Linked DNA regions of Ovis aries. The protein of the gene in region 1 interacts with the protein of each later gene in a pairwise test. Links are inferred from orthologs where the notes say so. Each region holds a gene or a part of one and is shown on either strand. Other genes may lie near its edges.

Region 1 (3,802 bases):
CCTGGGAGCAGGCTCTGCGTCCCTGGAGGCGGTGTCCCCCCCGGCCCTTCGCTGCAGCCACTCTTCCCAGCGCACTCCTGCCCCCAGCCCCCAGACCACTTGGCTCAGGCCCCAGAGGCATGTCCTGCGGGCTGGGCTCCCCTGAGGGATGGGGCAGGCACACTGGGGAGACTGCTGACCCTGCCCCCCCTCTTAGTTTAAAGAGTCAGCCCTGAGGAAGCAGTCACTGTACCTTAACTTCGACCCGCTCCTGCAGGACAGTCCCCGGAGGCTGGCACCCAGCAGGTACGCCCCACTGGTGGCAGGGGCAGGCAGGGGCGGGGGCTGGGCCCGCCTGGGGGCCCATTTGGTGAGCAGGCGTGCTCCTGTGTGCCCACAGCAGCGGCGGGCAGCCTGACGGGCCGCGGGGCCCACCTGTCCCGAGCACGGGCCTTCTGACCTCCGAGGAGTGCCCCGGGCTCATGCAGACGGCGGGCAGCTTCTCTCCCGGTCTCTGTGCTCACAGTGTGGACGCGCCTCCCTCTGGAAGCCCTCCGGAGGCCCAGCTGCTCGACCTGGACTTCCCAGGAGCCCCTGGCGTCCCTGTAAGTGCCTCCTCTCCTCTGCTTTAGAGACAGGTGTATACTAAGGACCCGGCCTCACGGGGTGGGTGGGGGCCGACGCACTGCCTCTGGCCGCGCTGTGCTGTGGGGAACCGGGGGGTGGAGGGCCACGCAGGGGAGCTCACGGCCCTGCCGGTCTCTCCCGCAGATGCCTGGCCCGCCTCCGTGTGGCCTCGGACCCGGGGCTCCACTGCTGCCGGTGGGGCCGATCGTGGACGTGCTGCAGTACAGCCAGAAGGACCTGGACTTGGCGGTGAGCATGCGGGCGGGGCGGGGGTGGGCAGCATCACAGGCTCCACTCGCTGCGCCAGAACCGGGTGGTCCGGCAGCTGGGCGTCCTGTTTCCGCCCCCACGTGTGTCATGGAACCCGTAGCATGAGGGTCTGCGCCGTCCCGGGAGAGCGCCCCCCAGCCTCCTCACTGGTGAGGGGACGAGGCCGGGTTGATGTCTAAGGTGGTGGAGGCCTGGGCTGGACCCTGCGGCGCCCAGCACCTCCCACCCGCCTCAGGCTGCCCCGCCCCCCCCCCGCCCCTCCCGTGCTGGGAAGCGTCCCCGCGCAGGACGTCCACCAAGTGGGGCGGGAGACGTCAGCGCGGGGAGCGGCCCTGGGCCAACGCGGGCGTGTGACCACGCAGGTGGAGGCCACGCAGAAGGAGAACGAGGTGCTGCGGGGCAAGTGCGCGGCGCTGCAGGAGAGGCTCCTGGAGATGGGGTGAGGGCGGCGGCGCGGGCGCGGGCGCGGGGCGCGGCGCGGGCGCGGCGCGGCGCGGGGCGCGGCGCGGGCGCGGGGCGCGGCGCGGGGCGCGGGGCGCGGGGCGCGGGGCGCGGCGCGGCGCCCCCCTCCACCCCTCCCCTCCACCCCTCCACCCCTCCACTCTCCTCCCACCCCTCCACTCTCCTCCCACCCCTCCACTCTCCTCCCACCCCTCCACTCTCCTCCCACCCCTCCACTCTCCTCCCACCCCTCCACTCTCCTCCCACCCCTCCACTCTCCTCCCACCCCTCCACTCTCCTCCCACAGGAAGATCATGGACAGCTTTGAGGGGACTGTCTACCAGGTGATGGGTGAGTGCCGCCCCCTGCCCCCTGCCCCCTGCCCCCTGCCCCCTGCCCCTGCCCCCTGCCCCCTGCATCAGGGGTGGGGGTGGCAACACAGCGGGCAGGTTGGGTCCCTTCCCTGACGCTGCAGTGTCCACCCTGCCCTGGGGGCTGTGCGTCCCCCGGCAACCTCCGTGGACATTGGGCACTAGCCGTGTCCAGGCTGGAAGCCCCGAGTGTGGGACAGGCCTGGGCTCACTGCCAGCTGCCTTGGTTTCTGGGCGGAGCTGGTGTTAAGGAGACAGCTGTTTTCTGGGCATTTGGAGCCCTAAGGGTCCGCCCTGGGAGGTCCCGAGAGAGGCAGACACCCTGCCGCCCGCCAATCCGAGGTGCTGGTCTCTCCTCCAGAGGAATCTCAGAAACAGAAGGAGCTCGCCAAGGCCGAAATGCAGAAGGTCCTGAAGGAGAAAGCGCAGCTGGCGGCCGACCTGCACTCTATGGAGAAGTCTTTCTCCGACCTCTTTAAGCGGTTTGAGAAGCAGAAGGAGGTGATCGAAGGCTACCGCACGGTGGGTGCTGGGCCAGCCTGGGGCCCGGGGAGGGGCGGGGGCCCTGCAGGAGGAGGGGCTGAGCATAGCCCCGGTGCGGAGCCTGGCAAGAAGCGAGAGGCAGGCCCGCAGGTGGGGCCCGGCTCAGCCCTGCCTCTGCCTGCACCCTGGGCTCTTGGCTTGTCACCTGCAACAGGACACGGTGCCCTCGAGGCGTCCGTGTGGGCCTTCGCGGAGACTGCGGGCCTGTGCTGGTTGCTGCGCTGTCCCCACCGCCACGCGGCAGGGCACCCAGCCCCCAGAGCCCGGGGCTCGGGGAACGAGACAGGCTGTTCCAGGGCCTGGTGCCTGACCCAGGTTCCCCCACAGTGCCTGGACAGAGCCCCCGTGGCAGGGCCCTGAGGGGCGGGCAGGGTCCCGGGTGGGGGTCAGGGAGGCCTGGGCTGTCTGCAGGGAAACAGGCGGGCTGCTCCCACGTGGCCTTTTCTACGGCTGCTCCACGAACCCCCAAAGAGCTGGGCCTCGGCTCAGGGCTCAGCGTCCATCTTCCTCCCAGAATGAAGAGTCTCTGAAGAAGTGTGTCGAGGATTACATAGAGAGGGTGGAGAAGGAGGCCCAGAAGTACCAGGCGCTGAAGGCCCAGGCGGAGGAGAAGCTCCAGCAGTGCGTGGGGAGGCGGTGCTCGGTGGGGTCAGGATGGGGGCGCGGGGCTCGGGGACGCGGGCGAGCAGGAGCCTAGGGGCGTCTGGCCCGCCTGCGGCTCAGCCAGGCCCTCTGCTGCTCCAGGGCAAGCGAGGAGATCGCCCAGGTGCGCAGCAAGGCCCAGACGGACGCTCTGGCGCTGCAGGCGGTCCTGAGGAAAGAGCAGATGCGTGTCCACTCCCTGGAGAAGGTGGTGGAGCAGAAGGTGGGTGCAGGGTCCCTAGGCCAGCAGGGGCGGGGGTGGGCAGCCCTCGCAGCTCGGGAAGGCTCGGGGGCGCCAGGCTCCAGGCACTGCGGGAAACCCAGGGGCGCAACTCTCCTCTTCAGACTAAGGAGAATGATGAGCTGACCAGGATCTGTGATGACCTCATCTCCAAGATGAAGAGAATCTGACCCGGCAGCCCTGACCTTGCTGTCTTCCCTCTGTGTGTGTGTCTGTCTGTCTAGGTTTTCCTTCTCTACTGACGTCGATTCTTATTTCAGTTTGTTTTTAAACTAGGTTGCTTTCGGAAAAAACTAAATAAAGTTTCTCTTAAATCTAAGCAATAGAGCTGTCCTGGCCTTCATTAAAGGGGCAGTTTCTGGCTGATCTGACCACAGCCGCTGTCCCTTCGATGCCTTCTCTCCGTCCCTGCCCGCACCTCGCAGCTGCCCGGCCAGCCACCAGCACCTCCTGGGTGTCGGCTGAGCGGGCCCCAGTCCCCCAGTCCCCCAGTCCCCCTGGCCAGCCACGTGGTGCTGGGGTGGACGCTGTCTGCATCAACCACAGGTCTCGCAGACCAGTGCCTTCGTGGAAGAAAGGCAGCCGCGGCAGGGGTCGGCTGTGTCCCAGTGAGGGCTGCCGGCCCCGCAGTGGGACGCTCACAGGGGTGGGGGGTGTCATGACCGGCAGTTCCCAGCTGCCCCCCTCC
Region 2 (4,336 bases), on another chromosome or scaffold:
CGTAGTCAACAACAGTCAGAAATGCAGTACTTGGATGCAACCTCAAAAATGACAGAATGGTCTCAATTTATTTCCAAGGCAAACCATTCAACAACACAGTAATCCAAGTCTATGCCCCAACCACTGATGCCAAAGAAACTAAAGCTGACCACTTCTATGAAGCCCTATAACACCTTCCAGAACCAACACCAAAAAAAGATTTCCTTTTCATCACAGGGGATTGGAATGCAAAAGTAGGAAGTCAAGAGATATCTAGAATAACAGGCAAGTTTGGCTTTGGGGTGCAAAATGAAGCAGGCAAAGGCTTACAGGGTTTTGTCAAAAGAACATTCTGATCATATCAAACACCCTTTTCTGACAATACAAGAGATGACTCTACACATGGATATCACCCACCAGATGGTCAATATCAAAATTAGATTATGTTTGCAGCTGACTGTGGCTCAGAAAATGAGCTCTTTACTGCAAAATTCAGGCTTAAATTGAAAAAAGTAGGGAAAACCACTAGGCCATTCACTGAAAAAAGAGTGTTAGTTACTCAGTCCCATCTGACCCTTTGCTACCCCATGGACTATACAGCCTGCTAGGCTCCTATGTCCATGCGATTTCCCAGGTAATGAAAGTGGGAGGGGGTAGCCATTCCCTTCTCCGGGGGATTGTCCTTACCCAGGGGTCGAATCTGGATCCCTGCAAGTCTGGCGGATTCTTTACCCGCTGCGCCCTTAGGGATGCCAACACTCAGCAAATTCTGGGAAGAAGGGAGGGAAGGATTGTATGCACCTAGTCAAATTAAAGCAGTTTGATGCCCACCCCCGCAAAATACAACCATCATGGGATTACTCTAGCCCAGGCTCCATCCTCTCTACCTGTGGAGGGGCGAGGATCAGAGGTCATCTTCAGACCTGGCCTTCAGAGAAGGGGGCCCCGTCCGAAGGAGGGCCAGGGTCTCTCCCAAGAGAACTCCGAAAGGCTAGAGGAGAGGAAAGCCCCAGTCTCGGGGCGGGGGAGTGCAGTGAGGCCATGGACACCAAGTTACAAGCCCGCCTCTCCACCACCCGCGTGCAGACTCGGCCCGCCCTCTTCCAAGGCGCCCCGCCCCTCTTGGCCGTCTGTCCCGCCCCTCTTGGCCGTCAGCCGCGCCCCTGCAGGGCGTCCCGACCCCGAGGGGTGTGCCCCGCCCTCCACAGCTCCTCGCCCCAGCCCTCTTGGCCGTCTGCCCCGCCCCTGCACGGCGTCCCGCCCCCAAGGCTGTTTGCCCCGCCCCTCACGGCGCCGCTCCCCGCCCCTCCTGGCCGTCTGCCCCGCCCCTCCACGGAGCCGAGCCCCGCCTCCTGCGCGGCGTTTGGGCGCCGTGTCGGCTCGCGGTGCATGTCGGGGCCGTCGCCGGGGACAGCCAGGACCCCAACCGTCCCATGGCTGAGCGGAGCGGCCGCGGCGGCGGGACGCGCGGGGCCTCCGCGCTTCCGAGCCCCGACTACTACGAGCAGGTGGCCCACCTCCAGCAAGGGCTGCGGGACAGGTACGGCCTAGCTGGGGCGGGGGCGGGGAGTCGGCCGGCCCCGGGATCCATGGGAGCCCCGCCCCCGACCACGGTTCCCCTGGGCCGGAGTCCAGACCAGCCCTGTCCCCCGAACTCCCCAAGGACTGAGTTTACCGGAGACACTGCCCCCACTCCGTGGGAGGTCCCCCGCGGGAATGTCCCTGGATGCTCCCAGAAGTGAGAGCCGGAGTCTCCTGCCTGTCACTCTCAATCAAAGCGTGTGAGTTTCTCTGGTCCCCTTCCACACGCCCCCTTCCCAGCCCTTCAGGTTGTCATCCAGTCCTGACAGCTGCACCCCCTCGGTGATGACAGGCCCAGGAACGCAGGCGGGAGAGTATGTGTGTGTGTGTGTGTGTGTTTGTCAAACATGCGCCCTGTTTAAATGCACGAGACTTTTTACAGGGCCAAATTTCCAGCGGGAGATGTCCCGACTTTAAGATGGTTCGTGATACGTTGCTTAAGACATGAAAAGATGAGAATCACTGAAAACCGCTTGATCACTGTAAAGAAAGAAAATTACACAGCAATTTACTATAAATATCTACATAAAAGATTAGTTGTTGAAGCTATTATTTAGCTGCTAAGTTAATCGGAGTTGGAAATCTCATTAGTCGACAAGAAAGGAAATAGAATTTTGGATCTCTTGATAAATAGCACCTTTAATGAGTGTTTAAAAGTTACAGAGTCATTTTACTGAAGAGGGGTGCTGCGCACTGTGATGATTCTGAAATGACAATAGTTACATGTAAGGTAAAGGCAGAAGTTACTGGTTTTGAAAAGGAATTGTATTCATCCTATGCTAAATTTAATTCCTGTCATATTATTTATAGAGCATCTGCAACAGGCCTCCTTAATCTTCCTCACCTTTTAATTTATTATTATTTATTTTGTTTAACTCTCAATCCTTTTCTACATCCTGTTTTCTTTCTGACATACCACTGCCCACCTACCCAGCCACTCACCTCTCCTCCAACTTAAAAAAAAAAAAATCACTTCTTATAGTGCCTTCCCTGTGCCAAGTGTGAATCAACCAATTCCTGACTTATGCACATTCTTCAAAACTTCTAGGTAATGCATCAAGTGACTCGTATCCTGCCTACTCTGAGAATTCCAGGAGGACAGGAGCCATATAGAGCTGGACCTTCAGCTCATGTTAGAGTACCTGAAATGGCAGAGGGACTGGCTACATGTTTATTGAATGAGTAGAAATGTCAACCAGCTAGTGTCCAGGAGTTGTGAATGTTATGTAGAACTGAGTAGCCACTCATTTACCACTAAATAGTGACCATTTTCCGGTCAATCAGGAAAACTGGCATCATGATATTTCAAAAATGGTATTAAATGCACACACCTGATAATTAAGAGACAAAACATTGCTCTGTGCATCATACACTTAAAGGGCTCATTGTTAAGAGTGGCTTCCTTACCCCAGGCCTTGAGTTATTTGTATCTCTTAACCCATGTTCTAATTTTATTTTTATTTTATTTTAATTTTTTGGTCTTACCATGTGGTCCGGACCAGGGATCAAACCCACAACCCCTGCATTAGAAGTGCAGAGTCTTAACCATTGGACCACCAGGGAAGTCCCCCTTAACCCAGGTTCTAATTTTAAAATGTTACTAGTTTGAATGATACCATTAAAACAAAAATGAAGTTAATTGTGAGTTATCATTTTTGTTTCCTGTGCTCAGAACACCTGGCCGTTTATAGTCCTTATGGTATGATAACTGTGTAACGATTATTATTCACTTTATGTTTAATACTTAATGGTTGCACTGTTAAGCAAGGTGAGGCTGTTGAAATTATATAAGGAATCTGAGTCATGCTTTATAGCCTATTCACGGTTCTGCCTTTGGAGGTTTTTTTTCATTTTTGAGTCAGTACAAATCTGTTACTGTGGGTATTCATTTTTCATTTTAAAAGTCCCTAACTAACTCTAATGCATAGGTAATAAACGCAGAGGCAAATAACTTTGGAGGCAGAGAAAACTGCAGGAAAAATGTAGAAACCAAGGTTCTAGTCCATGAATAGTTATGTGACCTTGAGCTGGTCATTCAGCTTCTCTGACCTGTTCATCACCAGAGATAGGGGCTTTGAGGTAAAGTAAGGCCGGAGATTTTTTTTGTTTGTTTAGTAGAGCAGTGAGATTCTGTTTTGTCTAACAGGAGCAAAAGATATTAAGAAGAGGTGGCAACAATACACAGAAGAACTATACAAAAAAGATCTTCATGATCCAGATAATCACAATGGTGTGATCACCAACCTAGAGCCAGACATCCTGGAATGCAGAGTCAAGTGGGCCTTAGGGAGTATCACTACGAAAAGCGAGTAGAGGTGATGGAATTCCAGTTGAGCTATTTCAAATCCTAAAAGATAATGCTGTAGAAGTGCTGCACTCAATATGCCAGCAAATTTGGAAAACTCAGCAGTGGCCACAGGACTGGAAAAGGTCGGTTTTCATTCCAGTCCCAAAGAAAGGCAATACCAAAGAATGATCAAACTACCGCACAATTGCACTCATCTCACACTCTAGTGAAGTAATGCTCAAAATTCTCCAAGCCAGGTTTCAGCAGTACGTGAACTGTGAACTTCCATGTGTTCAAGCTGGATTTAGAAAAGGCAGAGGAACCAGAGATCAAATTGCCAACATCAGTTGGATCATCGAAAAAGCAAGAGTTCCAGAAAAACATCTGCTTTATTGACTATGCCAAAGCCTTTGACTGTGTGGATCACAACAAACTGTGGAAAATTCTTCAAGAGATGGGAATACCAAACCACCTGACCTGCCTCCTGAG

Evidence for each region.
Region 2: the proteins of TACC3 (region 1) and KIZ interact in binary tests that used the Homo sapiens proteins (3 or more experiments, as listed by UniProt). The two-hybrid records come from large-scale screens. The link is inferred for Ovis aries from reciprocal best matches to the Homo sapiens genes TACC3 and KIZ.

What each region holds. Positions count from the first base shown.
Region 1 is NC_056059.1:117,511,179-117,514,980, reverse strand, and holds the end of TACC3 (transforming acidic coiled-coil-containing protein 3), read left to right. Parts: intron 1-196; coding exon 197-285; intron 286-379; coding exon 380-584; intron 585-750; coding exon 751-855; intron 856-1,238; coding exon 1,239-1,315; intron 1,316-1,624; coding exon 1,625-1,668; intron 1,669-2,049; coding exon 2,050-2,210; intron 2,211-2,745; coding exon 2,746-2,852; intron 2,853-2,975; coding exon 2,976-3,240; coding exon of another isoform or gene 3,241-3,284; 3' UTR 3,285-3,433; downstream 3,434-3,802. UniProt on the Homo sapiens protein: Plays a role in the microtubule-dependent coupling of the nucleus and the centrosome. Involved in the processes that regulate centrosome-mediated interkinetic nuclear migration (INM) of neural progenitors.
Region 2 is NC_056066.1:40,043,391-40,047,726, forward strand, and holds the start of KIZ (centrosomal protein kizuna), read left to right. Parts: upstream 1-1,361; 5' UTR 1,362-1,412; coding exon 1,413-1,519; exon of another isoform or gene 1,520-1,695; coding exon of another isoform or gene 1,696-1,760; intron 1,761-3,706; exon of another isoform or gene 3,707-4,336. UniProt on the Homo sapiens protein: Centrosomal protein required for establishing a robust mitotic centrosome architecture that can endure the forces that converge on the centrosomes during spindle formation. Required for stabilizing the expanded pericentriolar material around the centriole.